2 linked regions of the Oryzias latipes genome follow. The protein of the gene in region 2 purifies or fractionates together with the protein of the main gene of each other region. This does not show direct contact. Links are inferred from orthologs where the notes say so. Each region holds a gene or a part of one and is shown on either strand. Other genes may lie near its edges.

Evidence for each region.
Region 1: the proteins of rnf8 (region 2) and mad2l1 purify together in Homo sapiens (co-immunoprecipitation; 3 studies listed by BioGRID and IntAct, with this or other methods). This does not show direct contact. The link is inferred for Oryzias latipes from reciprocal best matches to the Homo sapiens genes RNF8 and MAD2L1.

Annotation. Positions count from the first base shown.
Region 1 is NC_019876.2:30,700,672-30,712,265, forward strand, and holds mad2l1 (mitotic spindle assembly checkpoint protein MAD2A), read right to left. Parts: upstream 4,224-11,594; 5' UTR 4,103-4,223; coding exon 4,039-4,102; intron 3,570-4,038; coding exon 3,423-3,569; intron 1,788-3,422; coding exon 1,667-1,787; intron 814-1,666; coding exon of another isoform or gene 811-813; coding exon 707-810; intron 630-706; coding exon 448-629; 3' UTR 238-447; downstream 1-237. UniProt on the Homo sapiens protein: Component of the spindle-assembly checkpoint that prevents the onset of anaphase until all chromosomes are properly aligned at the metaphase plate.
Region 2 is NC_019882.2:5,926,866-5,938,309, reverse strand, and holds the start of rnf8 (E3 ubiquitin-protein ligase RNF8), read left to right. Parts: upstream 1-4,805; 5' UTR 4,806-4,960; coding exon 4,961-5,083; intron 5,084-5,206; coding exon 5,207-5,335; intron 5,336-6,092; coding exon 6,093-6,535; intron 6,536-8,159; coding exon 8,160-8,364; intron 8,365-8,449; coding exon 8,450-8,509; intron 8,510-8,608; coding exon 8,609-8,698; intron 8,699-8,795; coding exon 8,796-8,903; intron 8,904-8,996; coding exon 8,997-9,201; coding exon of another isoform or gene 9,202-9,208; intron 9,209-9,294; coding exon 9,295-9,327; intron 9,328-11,054; coding exon 11,055-11,242; 3' UTR 11,243-11,444. Other genes in the region: aida (axin interactor, dorsalization-associated protein), read right to left, coding at 298-306, 465-562, 638-701, 791-845, 1,287-1,340, 1,425-1,491, 3,805-3,911. UniProt on the Homo sapiens protein: E3 ubiquitin-protein ligase that plays a key role in DNA damage signaling via 2 distinct roles: by mediating the 'Lys-63'-linked ubiquitination of histones H2A and H2AX and promoting the recruitment of DNA repair proteins at double-strand breaks (DSBs) sites, and by catalyzing 'Lys-48'-linked ubiquitination to remove target proteins from DNA damage sites.

The sequences.
Region 1 (11,594 bases), on a different chromosome or scaffold from region 2:
ATTTCACCTTAAAATGGGTTAGTCTTCTACTCAGCAGACGGACCCCCCCAGTACAGTGAGGAACCCTACGGTTCTGCCAGGCCCGCCCGTCTCCAGCTCATGATCAGGACGACCACGGTGCAGCACTCATGAACCTGATTCTTTCCCGCTGTAAATTCCCTCAATGCATCGCGTAAATCTACACCCCCACTGAATGCTGGGAGTTGCATCAAAAATGCTCCCCGCACAAAACACAAATCACACTGAGAAAAGAATTTAATGATGTAAAAAAACGAAAGCATCTTCTGAGGGGGAGAAAGATCAGGAAAACACAGATCGGACAGACAAACTAACAAAAAGTTCCATCAGATCTCACTGAGCACAGGTTCGCCTCATCCTCCAACAAAGAAGAAAGTCCAGTCCAGGAAAGCAGGAGTTCCTCATGAGCTCAGAGTAAACGTCTGCAGCTCAGGTGCTGCAAGCCGAGTCGGTCCTTTTGTACGCCACCATGCTGCTCACTTTGTGGATAGAGGTGGTGAAGGAGCGCAAGCGCACCTCCTCTGATTGGTCGATTATCTGAGGCCCCGACTCTTCCCACTTGTCAGGAACCACCAAGTCTTTGTCCGTATACACCAGGAGGTCAAAGGAGCCTGCAAGAACAACTAATCAGAGGGCCGGCCGAGCAGGGAGGAGCTGCAGGAGTCACAGATGGATTATGGGAACTCACACTGCGTCTCCAGCAGAGGCAGGAAGGTGACGGTGGCCGTGATCTGTCTGATGACGGAGCGGATCTCATCCTGAATGGTCTTGATGGACTTCTCTCTGGGAGCACTGCTTTGAAAGGATCAGAGTCAGAGGTCAGCACACAGAAACAAAGGCTGGACTGCCCCCCTACCCCTCTGGCTCCAGCTGAAGGGGCATTTTGGAGCTGTAGTGGTGTCCCACAGTGATTCAAAGGAGGAGCCGTGGTGGATTGCTGGTAGGACGATCCGCGTCACGCTGTGGCGTTGAGGAGAAACGCATTTCCTCACGTGGGTGTGCGCTGAAGCACAGACGTTTACATTTAAATGTAAGTCATGACTTTGTTTATGCGTGACTTTTTAAATAAAACCCATGATGTGTATTTTCTGAGCGCTAACGCAGCAGACCGACTACTATTCATGACGTTGTGGAGCGGTTGTAACGTCCGGATTTGAAGACACTTTTCTCCATAAACTCAGTCATTGTAGCTATTTGGACGGCAGAGCAGCAGCCTGAAATAAAAACCACAGAAACGTTTGCTCCCTCAGAATGAGAACCTGATTTGGAGTACATGCCGAGTCCCAACCCCACAGAAAACCTTTTTTAAGGTTTAAACCGAATCCCAATTCCTCCCAGCTCCTGCCCATCCCCCCTCCAGCAGTTATGGAAACATTTGAACATTACCAGTCCTGGATGGCGTCATCAATAGCTGCATATCTTCTACGTTAGCATTTAGCTGCCAGCGCTAGAGAAACACACAACATGGGTTTTCTAGCCTTGACCTACATTTAAATGTAAACTCTGCTTCAGAACACGCCTATGTGAAGAAATGCGCTTCTCGTCCACGCCACAGCGCGCCGCGGATCACGCTAGCGGTGGTGGGATAGCCAGCCCCTGGAGAAGCTCCTTTCCTCTTGAGACATTTGGAACTGGAGAGCGGGCTCACCTGCTCTCTTTGGCCGACTTGTCACACTCGATGTCAAACTGCCATCGCTCCAGCACCTCGTTGGTCTCCAGGCAGGTGATGACCAGCACCAGCTTCTGCACGCTGCACTCAAACAGCCATTCTGAAACCCAAACCCGCGTTACACGCCTGCTTTAAGGCCTAACACGCAGACCAGGTAAGTCCAGGCTCAGAGATTTGCAGATCACCGTCCCGTTTTACCTGGACCAGGTGTGTCCATCTGGAAAACAAGCCTGTTCTAACATGACACAAGAAAAACCTATTCCTGCTGTTTCAACACCACCAACACACGAACCGAGCTACACAAACGTCTTCAGGATGCTAATTTTCTGCTGATTCTTGATAGATAGCTTGTGGTGTCCCACAAGGATCAATTCTGGGCCCGCTGCTATTCAGTATTTACATAAATGATATATTCAATGTCTCACAACTATTAAAACTCATTATTTGCTGATGACAGATCTATTCTATTCCATTCTACAAACAATCATAGGGAACTTAATGTGGTGAACATAGAGTTAACCCTTGTGCTGTCTTAGATGACCCCACCCTTACATGGATGTGTTATTCCTACCATGACAAAGGTGGATAAAGGTGGAAAGATGTCATGGAATCCATGGACACCAGTGAAGATCACAAATCATTGAAGAAAAAAGGTTCAGAGCACTGTCTAGTGGGTCTAGATGACCCAACTCCCAACGTTAAAGTGCCTAGGATAGAACAAGGGTCACACAAAATAAAATCATGGCTGACGACAAATCCTCCTTTAACCCAGATAAAACTAGTGTGACATATTTTGCTAACTACTACACCAATACCGATGTCTCAATTAAAATAAATGTCTTAATTTAAAGTGTTACAGAATTCAGATTCTCAGGCGTTTTTATCGATGACAAACTAAGTTAAAGCCTCACATCAGACACACACAAAATAAAGTCTCCAAAAGTATTTCCATCATAAGTAAATCTAAACATATTAAAATACGACAGTAGATATTTATTACACTGCTCCTTAATTTTACCATATTTGACCGACTGTGTAGAAATTTGGGGGACTGATTCTAAGAGTTCACTACATCCTCTGTTTACTTCAAAAATGAGCCGTCAGAACTGAACATAAAGCCGGATATCCTGATCATACAAACAATTTGATCAATCCAGACTTCTAAAACTGTATGATCTTGTTGTGTTTTAACTTCTATTCAGAGCCAGTGGGAAATCGTTACCATTCAATACCAAACAACACAAAAGAGTTCTTAGAAAATGAAGGAGGAACAAAGTGAGGGGATGCAGGAACTTCAAGACCAAACTGACAAGAACCACAAAGACAAGTTTGTGTCTCATTCAATCAAGCAAATGTGACTTACGGTTTTAATCTATGCATTTCATCATTTCTGTAATGACTTTGAGAAATCTGTGTAAATTCTTCAATGTTGCGTCTGACCCTAAATTATGATGAACTCTTTGGGCTTTTAGAGGACTTTTGGGCAGGAAAACATCACTATTTAGGCACATCGACACGTGGAAACAACATGAGGTGTCAATCATCCCAACATCCACCTCCATATCCCATAAATCTGTAAAGAGAAACAATATCCCACGCCTCTTGTCTTCAATAAGCCTTTGCTGGACGCTGACAGACAGGAATTGCATCTTGATCATTGCCTCCATGTTAAGAAATAGAAAAATAAAGTCCTAACAGACACGGCCTGCTTTAGGACAAAGAAAGGACAAACTACCTTTGAGTTGAGACACCACGTTGGTCAGGTAGTTGTTCAGCCTGGGCTCCGTGGAGACCTGGAGGCTCATGTCATAGTGAGTGACCCTGGTGAACGTCTCTGGGGGGTAAATGCCCCGCTGGTACAGGATGCTGTTGATGCCGAAGGCTGTGGGGAGGATCACGGGGCTGTTATTAGCGGGGGGGGGGTTGTGACGTTAATTCAGGTCAAAGACTGAGAACACTCTTTTCGTCCACACTACTCTACGTTAGTTACTCAGCCGATGATAAGTAGTTTGTGTCTGTTCAACCCGAAATCTAGCATTCCTACTTTAACTCTGGTGACGCTCGGCTTCTTTACCAGCACACCTGGCGGTGGGCGGTGTTAGAAAGCCGCCATTAACCTACACATCGACCAGAAGCAGCCATTCGATCTTTAAGAAGTTGGCTTCAGAAGGAAGGCTTTTAAAATGCTGCGACGGTTTAGGGCTCTGCCTTCGGTCTGGAGCCGCCGTAAATACACTCGCTGGCTACACACAACAACCGAGCACGCGGGCCCGACCGCCCGCTAGCACACAACAAATGAGGAAGAGCCGTTGAAAAGCCCGGCTAGTACAGAAACAAATGTTGAAACATACAGAAAAACTCGGCCACCAGCTCCGCGCTTCCTTTAAGGGTGATTCCTTTTAAAGTACTCGTCATTTCATGAAATGACAATCAACCGTTGAAAAGAAACGTCGGGCTTCTTGCTGCACTGAAGGCTGAAACTGGTACCCGCCGTCCGATTTGAAAAATCAGTGACAACCTCTACGCATGCGCAAAAAAGACAGACCTCCCCACGTGGTCAACCCTAGACAGGAGAAAATGACTTTTTTCTTTTTTTGAAACTTTATTTATACAACAGTAAACATCACATCGGCAAGTTTACCGTCAGATGGCAAAAATCAATGTTATCTTAAAAAATAAAGAATAAATTATAGTATGTAAATAAAATTAACAGGGACATCGTTAGCAAAAAGGAAAATTTAAAAACAAAAATAAATAAAAATATATTAAAGTATTTCTCAGTAGAGGGAACTATTCATCAAGCAAAAAAGCTCATATTGTTTCAGTGTTATGCCTTGAATGTAATAATCTTTTGAAGATATTAGTAAAATTGATAATCTCTATCAAAAATCCTGTAAAATTGTTTTTTTGGTTTTTTTTACTCAGCACTTATTTAAATAGAAGTAGTAACAAATCAATACTATTTCCTACCAATTGATCCTGCGAGTTAAAATATGTAAGAATGTGTTTGAAATATATAATAATAGTACTGTTCATGCTTATAAATCTTTTCAATTGGATCCAGAATTTAAGGGAGAATTGACAATGGCAGAAAAGGCGAAGAACTGATTTTGGGAAATCATTACAAAAGCTACAGTTATTTCCTATATTTGAGAATTTGAATATGAACATAGTGTGGGGTAAATGTTATGTAGAATTCATTTGTGTATTTCTTTAATTTTGTTATTTATGCCAAATGTTTCTGGCAGTAACTATGCTTTTGTCCAAATGATAGTTAAAATATTATTCCAATAAATTTCTCCTTTAGGTGTTATGCTTCTTTTTTCATATAAAGTAGTAAATATATGTTTGTTGTAGCATTTTTTATTGAAAATATCAATATCATTAATTGTCAATAGAGGGTCTATTTTTAGATGCCTTGTGATATTTAACCCTTGTGCTATCTTATGTCCCCACCCTTGAGTAACCGGCAGGTCGGCCTGTGACAGGTGCATGCCTGCTTGATTGGGGATGTAGTTCAGCTGTTCTGCTTCTTTATAAGGAACAGGGAGTGAGTTGACAGACAGTGGCTGCCTGCCTGCATGGTGGTATGTATGGCTGAAGCTCCTCTTGTCGGAGAATGTAGATCACCGGTTACTCATTTTTATTCTGCTCTTTTAACTAGATTCTGTTAGCGGCTGGACGTGTTGCAGATGTCATGAGCCACTGCGTGTTCTTTACCCACCCTTATTATACATTTTAATGTGTTTTAGAGTGGTGCTGTATTTATTGTGTTGTTGACTCTGATTCCTTTTTATTGTTGCATAGGTGTGAGTCGGGCGCCAGTGCGTGTGGTGTTGGTGAAGGGGCCCCTTGTGGCAGCGTCTTCCTCACTGTATTTATTTCCTTTTTAGTGTGTAGTGGAAGTTTCTTTGGCACGTTTTTCTTGTGTGTGTGTGTGGATTTGTTTTCAGCACGGAGTGGAGTGAGGTGCGCTATGTAATCCATGGACACCAGTGAAGATCACAAATCATTGAAGAAAAAAGGTTCAGAGCACTGTCTAGTGGGTCTAGATGACCCAACTCCCAACGGTAAAGTGCCTAAGATAGCACAAGGGTTACGGGGAGAGGTCATTAGTTGAAATAATCCTGAGGGAAGAGCTTTCATTACAATTTTCAATTCTTTTTGCTTGTTATTGGAAAATATTTTTTAAGAACCTGTCATAACCCAAAAGGGTCTTTTATTTTTTTAAACCAGTGTGGTGAAAAATTATGTAACACAGTGTACTGGGTGGCTGTGGGGTCGCGTTCTAAGTTCCGGTGTTCATTGAACGCATCAAGCAGAAATGCTGATTGGCTCTCAGTTCTGTCGCTCAACCTGTAGTTGGGGAGTTTGGTCCAATAGGGTTCAGCTATGGCCCGAATAAGGAAATGGGGCTGATGCAGGAGCAAGGGAATAAAGTTTGGGGGAGTGCTCTCAGCGGGAGGATACAAGAGTTTCTGGGCAAGTTGTGCAGCATTGGTTACAGCCTACAGTAACCAGAATAAATAACCTTAACCCTTGTGCTATCCTAGGCACTTTAACGTTGGGAGTTGGGTCATCTAGACCCACTAGACAGTGCTCTGAACCTTTGTTCTTCAATGATTTGTGATCTTCACTGGTGTCCATGGATTACATGAAATCTTTCCACCTTTATCCCCCTTTGTCATGGTAGGGAGAACACCTCAATGGAAGGGGGGGGTCATCTAAAATAGCACAAGGGTTAAGAGATTAAGTCTCCGTGCCTCAGTGTGTGGGAAAGGGACGCTACAATTGCATTACCGGGGCAGCTCTTTCGGCCAAGGCGAGCAATTAAGAGTTCTGGCTGTTGACATCGACAGATTAGTTAACCAGATTTATGCTCACATGCCCCCAGCCATTCAGGAAGAGCTAGCCCGGGACCAGACGACCTTCGCGTTCAAACCCAACCAGCGCACCGTAAGTTACTGCAGGAGGCCCTGGAGCTGGCCACAGAGAGAAAAATGCTGTGGAGGCCCTCCTCCAGGGTGGAGCTTGAGGCCCCTCCAAAGGTTAGAGCTGCAAGTGTATCAGAGCCTGACACCAAGGGGCCTGCACGGGCAGAGGAGCTGACCCAGCTAGTAAAAGCTGTGACCCTGAGAAACGAACAGGCATCCAAGGTCCGCCCCCAAAGAGACTGGAGCTGACCCAGGACCTCCTGGGGTTGTGGGAAACCTGGGCACTTGATTCGTGACTGCCCGGACAACCAAGGAAACAGGAACGGGACCGCATAAGCGGGACAATGTGGCCCCCTGAAAAACCATCCCGATTGGACCCACAGAAATGGAATGCTGGCCATGTGGGGGTCAAAGAAGTCCCATCTGAGAGACTAATGACTTTGGGCCGAACCTGGGTTGGTGACTGCTGGTTCACAACTATGAGTGTTGATGCAGCGTCATGCTTAGCTTTAGTGGACACAGGTTCATCTGCAACACTGCCCTGCAGTGGTGAGGAATAATGCAGCCATCCTTCCTAACGCTGTAACATTACAGACTGTTACTGGAGAACGGACTTTCATGCAGGGGGAGGCTGTTGTGACTCTGGAGGTGGGAAACCAGCAAGTGAATTGGCCTGTGTGGATTGCTGACTTGGAAGAATGCTTACCAGGCCTTGATTTTTTTTTGCGGGCCCAAGGTTGTGTTATTGATACCAAGAGAGGAACCCTTACATTTTCTGATGGACATGTTATCCAGATGACCAAATTTCCTCTAGATCGGGGTCCCATGTAGTTCACACCCTGTCCATGACTGACAAAACCAAGTCTGATTCAAGAAAAAAGAAGAGCTCTGTCTGTTATGTATATCCAGATGAGCCACCCAAACCATCTGTGAATAAAACACCTATAGACACAGAAAAGATGGCAGCGGTAAGCACCTGGTCTGTTTCCACCTGACCCTGTTCTGCCCTTTCTACTGGACACGGATGCCAGCAATGTGGGCTGTGGTGCAGTTCTGTCCCAGGTAAGACCTGTGGGGGACAGAGTGGTTGCATACTACAGCTGGACCTTTAACAAAGTTGAGCAAGGCTAGTGCTCCACCCGAATGGAACTCCTCGCTGTGGTCAGTGCCATTAGACACTTCAGATATTACCTGGGGGGTCTTCATTTCACGGTCAGGACTGATCAGGCTGCCCTACAGTGGCTGATGTCTTTTAAGGAGCCGGAGGGCCAGCTGGCGCGCTGGATTGAGGAGCCACAGGCCAAGTCAGGCCAGTGGCACGGCACCAGAACACTGATGCACTGTCACAGCGGCCATGTGTCACAGAGGACTGCCGCTATTGGCCTTTATTTTTTTATTAAGGTCAAAATGTGAAAAAAATCCAGAAAATCACATCGTCCGATCTTTTTAATAATTTATATATTTAGTTTATTTATTATTAATTATTTGTGTAAATTATGGTGGAAAATAAGTCTTTGGTCACTGACAAACAATCAAGATTTCTGTCTCTCAGACCTGTAACTACTTCTGTAGAGGATCCTCTGTCCTCCACTGGTTAACTGTATTAGTTACACCTGTTTAAACTGGTTATCTATAGAAAGGCACCTGTCCACAACCTCACACAGTCACACTTCAAACTCCACTATGGAGACCAAAGAGCTGTCTAAGGACACCAGAAACCAAACCTGTACCAGGCTGGAAGACTGAATCTGCAACAGGTGAGCAGCTTGGTGTGAAGAAATCAATTATTAAGGAATGGAAGACATACAAGACCACTGTGAGTCTCCCTCCATCTGGGGCTCCCCCCAAGATCTCACCCCGTGGGGTCAGAATGATCACAAGAACGGTGATCAAAAATCCCACAACCCCATGGGGGACCTAGTGAATGACCTGCAGAGAGCTGGGACCAAAGGAACAAAGGCTACCATCAGTAACACACTACACCACCAGGGACTCAAACCCTGCAGGGCCAGACGTGTCCCCCTGCTAAAGCCGGTACATGTGCAGGTCCGTCTACAGTCTGCTAGAGAGCATTTGGAGGATCCAGAAGAAGACTGGGAGAATGTCCTATGGTCAGATGAAACCAAAATAGAACTTTTTGGTAGGAACTCTACTGTTTAGAGGAGAAAGAATGCTGACCTGCATCCAAAGAACACCAGACCTACTGTAAAGCATGGGGGTGGAAGCATCATGCTATGGGGCTGTTTTTCAGCAAAGGGACCAGGACGACTGATCTGTGTAAAGGAAAATATGAATGGGGCCATGTATGGTCAGATTTAGAGTGAAAACCTCCTTCCATCAGCATTGAAGATGAAGCATGGCTGGGTCTTTCAGCATGACAACCATCCCAAACACGTTACCCGGATAACAAAGGAGTGGCTTCTAAAAAATTACATAGAGGTTTTTAAAGCTCTAAAACAGGTTTCAGTTATTTTTCAAAGCATCAGGCTTGAAAATTTACAAAATGTGAAATTATCCCTGTTTATTCATGTCATCACCAAACTACTGAAGCCATCAGGATTGTTAATGAAGGAAAATATCTGGGTGCATTATTGTCTAAAAAACACAATAAGGACGGAAGAAGTCAACATTTCAAACTGGTTGCTTGATGTGAAGCAAAGTATAAGTCGCTGACTGACAAGAGCTTTAACTATTTTTGGGAGAAATTTGTTAACCAAAGAGGGAGTCTCTAAGATAATTTCTCCCTGCTATTCTTTGTACACATCCTCTCCAAACTTAACCCTTGTTCTATCCTAGGAACTTTAACATTGGGAGTTGGGTCATTTAGACCCACTAGACAGTGGGTCATCTAGACCCACTAGACAGTGCTCTGAACCTTTTTTCTTCAATGATTTGTGATCTTCACTGGTGTCCATGGATTACATGAAATCTTTCCACCTTTATCCACCTTTGTCATGGTGGGGAGAACACCTCAATGGAAGGGGGGGGGGGGGCATCTAAGATAGCACAAAGGTTAAAGAAGGTTTACTCAATTACTTTTCAGGTCCAGTGGAAAAACAAACCCCCCATATCAAACGTTCCCAACTATTTAAAAGTTATGACAAAGGTGGCATCAATTTGAAGCTACATTTAGAATGACATGGTTAAAAGCTCTTCTGATTGATAATTACTTCCTATGGTTTCATATTCTAAAATCCATCTATCAGCATTTAGAAGGAATACTTTTTTTACAATATGTGATTTTGACGTTTTGAGGAAGCAGAGAAAGAGAACTTTGGGGTGGGGCTGTCCATCACTCAAGCTGAAGTCACTGAGGCAGTCCATGAGCTCCTCGGTAGCAAAGCTCCGGGACTGGACGAAGTCCGCCCTGAGAACTATGGAGTTCTATCCTGTTCATAATTAAATAAATAAATATTTAATTCAATAAATAAATATGACCTCATGCAAATACACAATCAACCAATAAATCTCTCATAAATATATAAAAAAGATCATGAAATGGTGAAAAAGCTGCACACAGATTTAAAATTAGCCATTATATTATTCAACATATTTCATTTTGCGTTAAAAACCTGTTCATTATTTTAAAACAGCATTTTAAAATATTCATTTTTAATCATGTGGAATATTATTATAATTCTACGTCTTTTTTCAGAACCTTGGATTTCAAAATCAATATTTTCCAAAGTAGCTTTGTTTTTATTTCATGTTGCTGTTTTTCACAATGACTGATTTATTTCATGAAGAGCTTTTTCAGGAGAATGTTTCTGTCTGTCAATCAAACCAGATAAGGCGGAGACACTTTTGTGATTGGCTACTCCTTTCCTCAGACATAAGCAGCAGCACAAGTGTGCAGTTTTTGTATGAGGGTCTGTGGGATGATGGTGTTGAAAGCTGATGCACAAATTCCTATTCTCTAGGTGGGTGAGGGTTGTGTGGACCACAGAGGAGATGGCGTCCTCTGTGGATGAGTTTGACCTGTATGTATATCAGTGCAGGTCCTTGGTGACATCAATGGAATCTGTGATGAGGGTCATGGCCAGTTTTTCAAAACATTATATGAGTAGGGGTGTTCCAAAATATCAACGTGGTGATATATCACGATATGTAGTCCCGTGATTGATTCTCTGTGCGTTTTCATCAAGTATTGACCTTTCATTTACGTTTGAAGACTCTGTAAAACATTATATTGTAGCAACCTGGGGGTTAGCCCCGCCTTCAGCCCTTGAGACTCATGGGAAGTGGGGAATCATGGGGGCAAACCCTGAGTGTAAGGGCTGGAAGCAGAATTGAACTCCATGCTGTGTGTGTTTGAATAAATGGGAGTTGATACTGAAAAGGAGACTTAGCTTCTCTTCCTTTTTCTTCCTCTCTGAGACTGTCGTGCAGTGTATGGGCCACGGACAGCTCTCCAGTGAAGCCGCTTTAATAGCAGCTGGGCTATAGTGACGTACCGGCCGGGTCGTTACAATATTAATCATCCTTTGGTAAGACGATTTTGCGGAGGGTCGATAGGGGGCGCACGTAGCGAGATTGGCTGTTGCGGGTGGACGAAGAAGAATACATATTCAAAAAAAAATGGCGGAGGGGAAAAACAAGAAAATAGGGAGAGCAGCAAGTTAATAGACGCGCCAGCAGCATTGAAGCTGCATCATCTGGAGTTGTGTGAGAAAGCCGTGGTTGTTGCTGGCCTGAAGCCGACACGGCCCGGCATGGATACCTTTTTCCAGGCGAAGCTAACGCCGTCTTCTGGAGAGCAGAGGCAACGACAAAAGGATCCCATGATCAACCGTATCAAAGGCAGCACTCAGGTCTAACAGAGACTTTGCCATCATCAGTGTTCAGGCGGATGTCGTTGGTTTCTGTGCTATGATGGGGTCCAAAACGGCTGAGTAGCTCGGTGGGTAAGGTGAGCGGCTACCATGCAGGAATCCAGGGTTCGATTCCCGGAGGGGAAGAAACAATGGTACTGG
Region 2 (11,444 bases):
TGCCTTGTGATCAGATTCAGTTTTTATTTAAGGACATTCTTCACTTTAAGGTTAAACATAAATGAAAATATTTGCAGAATTACGGATTTATTCATCTCCCTGAAGTGTTTTGAAGCCGCATACCAGATAGTTAATTATTTCAAACCATCTCTGAGGTTACCTGCAGACTGACACGTCTTTGTTGAATGTTTAACAGAAAACCTAAGGAGTTCCTCAAAACATAATGTCACTTTTGAGGGAACGAAACAAAAGAAGCTCTGATGAGAAAAACGGGCACTAAAAGACAAAACGCCGTACCTTGAGAAGCTGGAAATGAATCGGGCAGGCAGGGATGAGCGATGAAGACATGCATGACTCCGACAAAGAGAGCAAAGACGTGCATGGTCAAATGGCCCTCACAGATGAGGAGACGTGAACGAAACGGATCAACGAAACGGCGGCCGGGCGGGTGGGGTTTACCGTACCAGGAGCTCGCGACGCGAAAGCCTCAGACGCACACGCCCCCGCATCCTCATCATCGTCCAGATCGAGATCCTCCTCCTCTCCTGGAGCCAGGATTTTTCTGACCAACAAGAAGAAGAGCTTTAAAACTAAAGCAATGCTTACTCCCGTACAATAAACAAACTCAATTCTTTACCTCGAGGGAACGGGCTGGACATCAAAAGGAAATTCTTTATTATAGGTGAGGATATTCTCTATTACTGCAAACAAAAACAAATAAGAGAAAAGATATTGTTAAAAAAACCCAAAGGTTCCAATAATTCATACAAATGTTTTGTTGTTTACTTACTGGTTTCTAATTTTTTCAGGTCCTCTAATTTGAATTCTTCCATTGACTGTGTGCACTGAGGAAATGCATTTAAGGGACATTTGAGCTCAGATAATTAAATCAGGATCTTTCTAATAAACTGGTTTATTTATTCAAAGACACAGAAACATTTTTAAAATGCCAAAATAATAGAAAAAAATGGAACAGATCAATTTTAAAGTCAGTCCCAGCAACCAAAAAAGCTAAACAAATACTTAAATAAATCCTAAAGGAAGCAAAAAACTTGAACAAAAAATGCAAGTAAAACCATTAATGTTTAACAGAATTAGCAAAAGGCAACAACAAAAACCAAAAATTTGAAACAGAAATACAAATGACTTAAAGTACCAAAAACATTTTACAGATGCAAACGGACAACAAAACTGACACAAATACATCCAAAAGTGACATCCAAGTGGACTTTCTTTATGTCTGCCCTTACACACACAAACACAAAGACAATAAAAGTGACACAAACCTGCAGACTCGCACTTCTCATCTCCAGGCATGTTGCAATCTTCCCTAAAGTTTTCTGGACAGAAAAAAGAAACGTTGTTTTTAGCTGCAGAAAAGGATAGGAGCGCTGCATAAATTTGCAGTAAATCAATAAGATCACCTTCTGCTCTTCTGTGAAATCTGTGGAACTTGTTGTGTGGATCTCTTTTTGCATTTGCCTCGCTAGACTAAATAAAACCACAAATAAACACAGAACATCGTTAGTTCTTACAAAACACAATAAATCAGACATTGTGAAGAATAGTTAGAAACTGCCTTTAACTTTTATTACACTAATGGTTTAAACTTAATTCACTGAGCATGTATTGTCATCTCAAAATTGTATTACATTTGAAGACAGCACAGCCAAGCTATTGTTCTAACAGTTTCTTCTCATACTCCCTTTTTCTGTGCATGTGTGATCTCCTGAGCAGGCCTCAGACTTATCTTCACTTTAGCCTTGGAACTGCTCTCCAGCAGTAACCTGTGGGCGTGTTTTTCACACGGGGTCCATCGGACGATCTTCTGAATATGCAAATGCATTTATACCAACCCCATCCCTGAGCTCGTTGGTTCGGACTTTGAATGCACCATGTTCATCTGTCTGTCCCCTTCGTGTTTGTACGAAGTAAAACCTCCACAAAAGATAAGTAACTGTCGACAAATCCAGTTTCTTCACATTTGCTCCTTCTGAGCCGGCCGGCACGCCCTGGACATCGCTGGAACCCCTGGGGGGGGTTGCCCGAAAACCGCTAGCCACATCCTCAGCATTGAAACATCCGCCTTCAGGATCGGCGGCCCTTGCCCTTGGATCCGGTGGTGCCCTCGGCGACTTCGGACCCTCATCAAATGGCGAGGTTCATTGCTTGAAGTGAGTACGCCACACAGAAAGTCTGTCCTCTCTTTACTTATTAGGGCTTTATGTTGACTGTGTCTGTGTCCTTGTGTGTGCGTGCATCAACGTTGGGGGAAGAATAGAGAAACGGCTGCAGTCCGCTGCGCGAGCACGCTGAACAGAGCACCGCTTGCAGGCAAGGTGCTGCGCGTGCACGAGTCATCCTGCGCGGACGGGAAAAGTGTGGGCGGCGCGCGAGGCTGCTAGTGTAGGCGCCTTCCCTCCTCGGTGGGAATGGCAGTGTAGGGATGGAAGTGTAGGCATAAGTGTAGGAGCAGCCGCGGCGAGTGAGCCGAAGAAATAGAGCCTTGGGAGGCTGAGTGTGACTTTTGAGACGAAACGGAGCTCCGGGGAAACTATGTGTGTGTAACGCTTTTTATATCTCTCTGTCTGTGTCTGAGTTTGCCCTTTTTCGACGGCCCCTGTGGTGTGTGCTCGCTTTGAGTAATGACTCCTTATAAAACAAAGATAAGTAACTGTCTCTGAGTCATTATTCATTATTTCTGTGTGCAAGAAACTGACGGGGTTACGAATTAATACAATACAGTCCTTTCTAGAAAATCCAGTTTCTTCACAGACATGTTAAGTTCTTATCGTTTACTTAAAAAAACTGAAAATAAAATGCTTTTATGAAGGACATGTTAAAATGTTTCCATCACAACTGAAATTATTTTTAAAAGTCCCCTTCCGATCATCTTTTGATCTTTTGTCAAAGTGTTCCCAGTGCTCTTTTAGTTATGATTATGCAACAAAAATGGCGAGCTGTCCAGTCTAGTTGTCTACAAATGGATGCATAAGAATGGAACAGGGAGCTTGTTTTCTACGTCACAAATACAATCTTTTACAAACAGATTTTTTTTCTTCTGCTCTTGAATAAGGAAAAAAGAAATTAGAGAGGAAAATGTTAACTTTATGTTCTTAATGTTTGTCCTTCATCGTGAGAAAAATGCCACAAAAGCATGTTAAAAATTCATCTGAGTGGGAACTTTCAATTTAAATGTCAGTTTTAACCCAGATATTATTTCTTTTTTGGGGGGAAATGCATGTGGTCACCCATTTTATGCAGAAATATTGCAGAAAATGTCCCTAACGGCGTTCCATACATTTGAAGTTTGTACATATTAAATTGCAGTCTGTGTATTCACGCCCTCTTGTGGCCAACAAAAGCACTACCAGGTAAACCCGATATTAATATAATAAAGACAATTACAGCAGATAATCATAATAATTAAGTAATAAAGCAGATCACTTCATGAAAAATGTGATTTTTGAAAAGTTAAAAAATGGCGTTTCTCTCTGAACACAAAGAACCCGCCCAGAACAACGAGAGGGTGTGGCTGACTGTTTCTCAATTCTCCGCGGAGCAGCTGCTGGCTCCTTTAGAGCAGAAAACACACACACACGCACACAAACACAACACAACACCCAAGACGAAACTGAAACCGGGATGCAGCAACCGCACGGAGCTCTGCTGCCACATCCCGTCATCATGGAGGGCAGGGATGTATTTACTGCTGACAGCTGCCGGGGCAACTTCTGTCTCCCACGGTCCTTATCCCCGCAGCTTTTACCACAGGCGGAGCAAACACGCATGTTGTAGACTTACATTTGGTATTCATCTATCGCCTCCACCAACTGCCCCCACGAGTCAAAGTCTGAGCCTTTCCTAAAACTGGCGTGCCATTTCTGGATAGTCTTGTTTACATCAGACATTTTGTCGGGAGGATTCGTGCGGCGCTCTCAGGACAGCATATCCGAGGAGGAGGCTCATCTGCGGGGCTCCAGCGTCGGCCAGTTTGCCTGCTCGTCCGGTCCAGAGTTTGGCGCACAAACCGGTGACACCCCGACCAAGCCCTTTCAGCCTGGCCGACCCTGATGTGACATCCGCGGGCGAAAGGAAGTCCCGCCCGAAAGCCTTGGGTTTGCTCGATTTGAAGCGCGGGGTCGCCCGGAAGATCTGAAGCCTCGTGTTACTATTACATTATTATTATTATTATTATTATTATTATTATTATTATTATTATTATTATTATTATTATTATTATTATTAATAATAATAATAATAATAATAATAATAATAATAATAATAATAATAATAATAATTGTTAAAATGAGAAAATTCACACACAAAACAAACAAAACAAAAATATTCATCCTGTTTATAACACAAAAAAAACAAGTAAACAAACATAGGTTCCAGTCTTTAACGTAACTTACATAACAATCACATGCACCTTGTAGTTGTTTCCTTTTAATACATCGGGAATATTTTGAACTCTCACGTGTTTTACAATCAAACTCATTATTTTTTAGAGTGGTGCTTGATATTACTTTATTGAGTTATTAAAAAACAATTTAACTAAAGTATAGACATATTTTCAAACAAGCTGTTTTAAACTTAATAAATAGTATAAATGTTAGCAATAAGTTCAGCCATTAATTGTTCTTTAGAATATATTTAAACCATTTTAACCACTTTACAACAATTAAAGTAAAAAAAAGCCTCTTCAGAGTGTAATGTAATCATCGTTCAATTTAATATATATGTATTTTATTTTTATTATTATAAAAAATATAATTATAGTCTCTTTGGTAAGAAAGCACCGTTGGGTGCCTTATTTTGAAACATCACATGAACACTTCCGGTGATTTCCGGTCTAGTAAAATTATCCCAGAGCTAGCATGGGAGCGTTATGTGACTGAGCAAAGTAACTGTTGCGGCGGCGTTATATCGTTTCTATACCTTTAAAAAATGAGATAATATGGAGAGTACAACCACGGAATCTTGTTCGGCAGAAGAGGAGGACAGCTCGGACTCGGAGGTGGCGTGTCTCATGAGAGTGGGGAAAAAATCCGAGTGGCTTCGCTTGTTCGGAAACACAGAGGTGCTAATGTTCGCTAACTAGCTAAATTAGCTAAATAATCGCATACTTTTCTGTGTTTCTGGTCCATTTCCCCCCCTGTGTTTTCAGCAGTTTGAACTGTGGTTAAATTGGTTTCGACTGCAGGTCACCGTTGGACGCGGGGTGAACGTGACGTACCAGCTCCTGTCAGCGAGTTGTCCTCTGATGATCTCCAGGCTGCACTGCACCTTCAAGAGAAAAGAAGACGGACAGTGGACGGTGACGGACAAGAAGGTGAAATGACGTTCACCATAGATATGTCAGACTTAGGATAATTATTTATGAAATGATTGGAAAATTAAAACGTAAAAGAAGACATAAGCACATAAAGATATACATGCACTTTCTAGGAGGTCATTTAATTACTTAATTGGATAGACATGCACAGTAATACATACAATACAAGACATGGAGTCCATTAAATATTAATTTTGTCAAATGAAGTTTAATTAATATTTTCAAAAGGGGGTGGGAGGAAGCGATTTTATGTTATCGTACCCCTTATTATATTTGTGTGCTTCATTGTTTGCTTTAAAGGCAAGTTTTCCATTTGAAATGTTGCATAAAAATTAGAATTCTGGCTATTTAAATTTAAAAAATGACTATTCGCACGTAATTTTTCAAATATGTGTGGCTATACTTTCTTTCTTGGCTGCGTTTATTTATTTTGCTATTAAAAAAAATAATATCTGTGGCTTAATTAAAGTAGCTGCCCTTGAAATAGTCACAGTGCTCCTTGGTAACCATTCATGTTTTTGCTTTAGTCATGGTGAGACCAGTTAGAGAAAAACGTTCATGCTTATACTTTTCTGCTGACAGCGACAGGTTGTATCTCTGGTATCCTGCACAAGGGGCCCCTTAGTGCTGTTCAAGTTCAATTGTGCACTCTTTGCGTGCAGCCTGTGAATGGCCTAAAAATCCTAAATGGTTTGATGATTTTCAATTAAAAAATGTACATAAATATGAAAGTAACAGCTGATTTCTTATACAGAGTCTCAATGGTGTCTGGGTCAACGGAAACCGTATACCGGCTGATGAAGCCCATCTCCTCAGGCCTGGAGACTCCATACAGCTGGGAGTTCCTGTAATGGGGTCCAAAGTGGAGTTCGACTACGTCCTGGTCCAGCAGCCCCTGAAAGACATTAAACTCCACCTGGCAAAAACGCATAAAGAGGGAGCCACAGCAGCCGCCATCACTGAGAGTTCCAAGAGGAAGATGACCATGGAAGAAGATGAGCCTTCTACCTCAAAGCCGAAGCTGTACCGCCGCTCTTCCTCGGACAAGTCTTTAGCAAAAGCCTGCCCTCCGCCTCTAAAGAAATGCCAGCTGCAACAGAGTCGCTCCCAGCCGGAGGAGACCGCATCCGGCAGACGTGTCCAGGAGTCGAGGCAACGTTCTGATGGCTCCCAACCTCCCTGTGACAACCTACAGATGTAAGCCAACTTTCACTTCCATTGTAGAATACACAAGTGAACACGCAAAAGGGAAAAAGTTCAAATAAACTTTATTTGCAGTTCACCTTTTTCTGTTTTTTAGTGCAATTTTGCATGTTTTTATTTATTAATTTGACTATGTTCAATTATTTTGAATTTAAAAATGTACATACGCAGCACACTGTTCTGCATCTTGTAGAGATTGTCAGACTTCAGACTCCGTGCCATGTCTTCTGCACTGAATGCGTTCAGTTTGGCAAACCTGCATGAATCTTCCATCGCGGTCACACCTTGTTTTCATTCTATAACACTGGACGATCTTTTCTTAAAAGGTTTGAACTTTGAAAGTTTAAACAAGAGAGAAAAGTGTACAAATGTTCATGTCTGTCTGAGAAAAGTGTGTAGCAATGGAGTTTACACCCTTGAAACGTCGCAGATTCAACAGATTGCAAGGTTGTTTTGTTTTTTTAGAACGGATCTCCAGGCGATAAATGAGGGACCACTGTATTTCACTAGAAACCCAGAAGAAATACATCAGGCTGAGCCTTCAAACATCTGTGTTTCACATCAAACTAAAATAGTTCCCCACAACACCACCTTTTATTTTAGAAATATCATAGACCGACTACAATAAGCTTAGGAAAAGACCAAACTACAAGCACCACAGATGTAATATTGATGCCATTCCATCAATAAGGCCTGCGTCAAACCCCCTCCCAGACGGAAGTGGCTTTTCCCAGTACTGTTCTCTAATCATGCAGGGTCTCAGAGAGGACTCTGCTCACTGTCCTGCCCCACTGTGAGCATGAATTCAACTAGGTAGGAGTGGCTCCTCAGACTGATTTGTTTCTTTCATTTTAAACATATTAAATAATAAAAGGAAACAGATTAATCAAATCTATTTAAGATACTAAATCATCAATTGATTAGAAAATAAATAACATAAAGCGATACCATCTTCTTGACATTATAAAACATAGACACATTCAGAACAAAAGCCACCTTCCAGTATTAGGGGCCTCACCTGTGGAACCGCTTGGCTGAGGACGTGAGGGCTTCATCCACCCTGGAGGTTTTTAAGAAAAAATCGTATAAATCGTCTTTTTTGCTTAGCTTTTAATTAACTCTTACATTTCCTAGTGTTTTCATTTGATTTTTATGGACTGTTTTTGTGTATTGCATAATGCGTATGTGTATTGGGGGCTTTCCTAATCACTATTTTTATTTTATGTAAAGCACTCTTAAGGTGTTTTACAACAGGAAAAATGCTCTATTTATTAATTAAATATGATGATTGTCAAATATATTTTTGATCAATTGCTTGAAAGGAAGTCGGGAGAATCAAACTTATATGATAATGATTCCTCCTCTATTACATCTTACATTGTTATATAATCTTCTGTCCTCTGAAAAAGCTGCTGTGGAGCTCTAATAACAAGTTTGTCCTGATCTTTTATTTCATTCAGATTCAGTTGCATTTATCTCCTGTATCTAGAAATATGTTGATAGACTGTGTTCATCTGAATCTGCCTTTTTTATTTATTTATGTTTTTGCAGTGACTTCAGCTCAACATGATGCTTGTGTTGGTGCGTCATCATTTTTCTTTCCCAAAACCGTTTGCAGGTACAGTCAGAACATTCTGTTGCTGCGGGAGCAGGTGGATGACACCCAGAGACGGGTAGCATCTCTGGAGGGAGAAGATCAGCAGGGTGACCCGCTGGTCCGGGAGCGGGTCCAGGAGCTGCAGAGTCAGCTGGGGACTCTCCGAGGCAAAATGCACCAGATGGAGACCTTAAAGAAGTCCTTCAGTGAACGGAGGTGGCCAGAGGTGAGGGTGGCTTCAGTCTGTTTTACAAGCAGGATGTGAAGTGAGTTTTGTGGGGATAAAGAAGCATTTTTGTGTGTGTGTTTAGCATCAGAAAACACAGCAGGAAGAGCAAATGAGAAAGCAGTTGAACGATGCCTTGCAAGAAGTAAGAAAATAAAGGAGTTTTCTTTCCGTAGACGGACAGCATTTATGAGATTATGAAGTGACATTATTGAGGATAAGTATTGTTTTTATCTATTCTCAGCAAAAGAAAGTGATCGTTGAACACGCCCTCTCTCGACAAGCCTTCGAAAAGATTCTCTCAGCCAAAAACAAAGAGCTGGAAGCCACGAAGGTCTGTTCAAAATCCTTAGTTTTATTCATCTTCTGCCCCTGAATGCCACAATAAATCACAATATATATAATTAATAATAATCACAATAAATCCTCAGGAGGAAAAGGAAAGGGCCCGTGCCCAGAAAGATGAAGTGGTTACACAAATGACTGAAGTTCTGGAGAACGAGCTTCAGTGCATCATCTGCTCAGAACTCTTCATCGAGGTGGGCTCTTATCAGATTAGCTTCACCTGCAAATGAGAACCACCGACCGTTAGAGTGACATTTTTTGGATCGTCTTATGGTCGTCTTCTGCAGGCAGTCACCCTGAACTGCGCTCACAGCTTCTGCTCCTACTGCATCACCCAGTGGCGCAAAAAGAAAGAAGAGTGTCCCATCTGCCGACAGGCCATCACGTCCCAAAGCCGCTGCCTGGCCCTGGACAACTTCATCGAGCGCATGATGGAGAACCTGAGCCTGGACGTCAAGGAGAAGAGGCAAAGCGTCATCAACGAGAGGAAAGGTGAGAGGTGCGTTTGTGATGCTCGACTGGACCGAAAAGCTTTCGAGTGTTAACCCAGAGCTGTTAAAAGACTTTTATTTTTGCTGTCTTCAGGTGAGCAGGTCTGTGAAAGCAGTGTCCAATCAGGTAAGTGGGGAAATTGGACTGATCTTTCAATGTCACATGATCAGGAGAGGAATTTGTGCGTTTCGTTCAGATTTTTGCACAAGAGGTTCGTTAGTGCTGTTAAGTGATAAATGCGCGCTCCTCGCACGGATCCTGACTGTTAGAAATGAGGAAATTAAACCGTCAGAGCGTAGTTTGTGTGGACATCTAACGGGCACTTGTGTATCATATGCACATCTCATCCGTGCAACATTTGCACACGCTCAGTAAGGAGCCAGTCCTCGATCCTTGCTAACAGCTCAGCCCCGCAATTCTGGAACTCCCTCCCCTCTGATCTACAAAATATGGACCATCTCTCTGTTTTCCAAACATCTCAAAACTCACCTTTTTGCCTTGGATTCATAATATTTAAACTGCTGATTTAACTGTTAACTTATTTTGTGTTTTGTGGCGTTTTGTTGTTATATTTTTATGATTTTACATAATTTTGTACTGTGAGGCGACCTTGAGTGTCTAGAAAGGCACCATATAAATAAAATGTATTATTATTACTAAGGACTACAGTAGGGGACAGCAACCTTTATGACGAGAAAAGCCAATTTGAAATATCCTCTTCAACAACTGTGCCATCACCAAGTGGAAAAGTGACAGTACTGATATAGGTGGGCGGGGTCACAGTAACAGCGTTGTGTGAATGGAGCCTTTCCTTATGACGCCATGAAGGAAAATAGCTCATCGTGAGAAGAGATTTGGTCAAATCCTAAAAATACAAGTGTTCATCTTACACTACATTATTCCCACAAAACACTTACCACAAGCACGACATTGGTACGTTCCATTTTCATGACGTCTCTTGAGGGGACCCTATGAGTTTTAAGGGAACTACAACCCACACCTGTACCCCCCCCTTAAGAGGCAGCCACGCCTCTCTACGACCCCCCACGGGCCCAGACAACCCAAAGACCTGCAGCACCCGTACGGGTCATGTGACTTAGGCTTTGATCATCTTTTCATCTAGTTTCAAAGAATTCCTATTGGTCTTTAATCATGACGGTCATTTTTAGCCAAATAAAAAAATAAATCTGTTGTTTTCATTAGAAATTAGAGATGTGGGAGGGACCATCAGCGCAGAGTAACCCCGCCCGCACTTTCATCTGTTAACACACTCTCCTGGTACCTTGCAGCAATATCGGAGCTACCCAGCCGTACAGTTTAGAACCAATGCCAGCTCAAAATTGATTTTCTTAGTGTATGTCCTCCCTCATGAGAAAAATGCCTCAATAACATGTTAAAAACACTACAAACATGATTTTCACCGGAGTGCATCCCAGGTAGAAACTCAAATGTATTGATCTATTCAGATGTGTTAAAGAGCACAAGTTCCTGAAACAACTTGGAAATCATTCCCTTCATTCTGTCACGAGTGGACTATCTCCTGGTTTTAGGGTTTAATGTCTAAAAATATCAACTTTTGTGACTAGAGTCCATTCAGTGACCCTTTGCTCAAAAGCAGCAGAAAGTGCTGAAGGGTCCAAACCTCAGGGAATGCTGGGAAGCTGCTGGGAGGCTTTCTAATAACATGTCATGGTGTCACCAGAGGGGATCTGCCGAGAGACCCTCCGTTACACAAGATGACAATACAATATGTTTCATCTTCTGTTCTGTTAGCCGGGCGTATTAGTGCTGCGTATGTCAGTGGAGTTTCTCCAGGAAGAAAGGGCGGCTCACTCTGCGTTTCTGTTTTCCAGCCGCCAACGCCGCAGAGGTGATGGTGATCCACGATGACGACAGCAGCAGCGACGGCAGCAGCAGCAGCACCGTCGAGAGCGATGGAAGCATGCTGTCCATTTTTAGCAGCCTCAGCTCTGTGTTCACTGTGGACACAGAAAGCAGCGACCATTTAGAGTTTGAGATCTCAGATGACCTTGAAGATTAACTCTCAATCGGAAGGCAAAAAACGGACTCGCAAAGCCCTCCAACAAGAAAAGCCCTCGGGATCTTTAGTTTACACTAAGAACACTTTGGTCTCATCATGAGGAAAACTTCCTTATGTTTTCTTTTTGTAAAGTTATTATTTGTGTAGTGTACTTGTTTTTCAGTGAAAAGATTAAAGTTTCTTCCTGATTACTTTTACCATT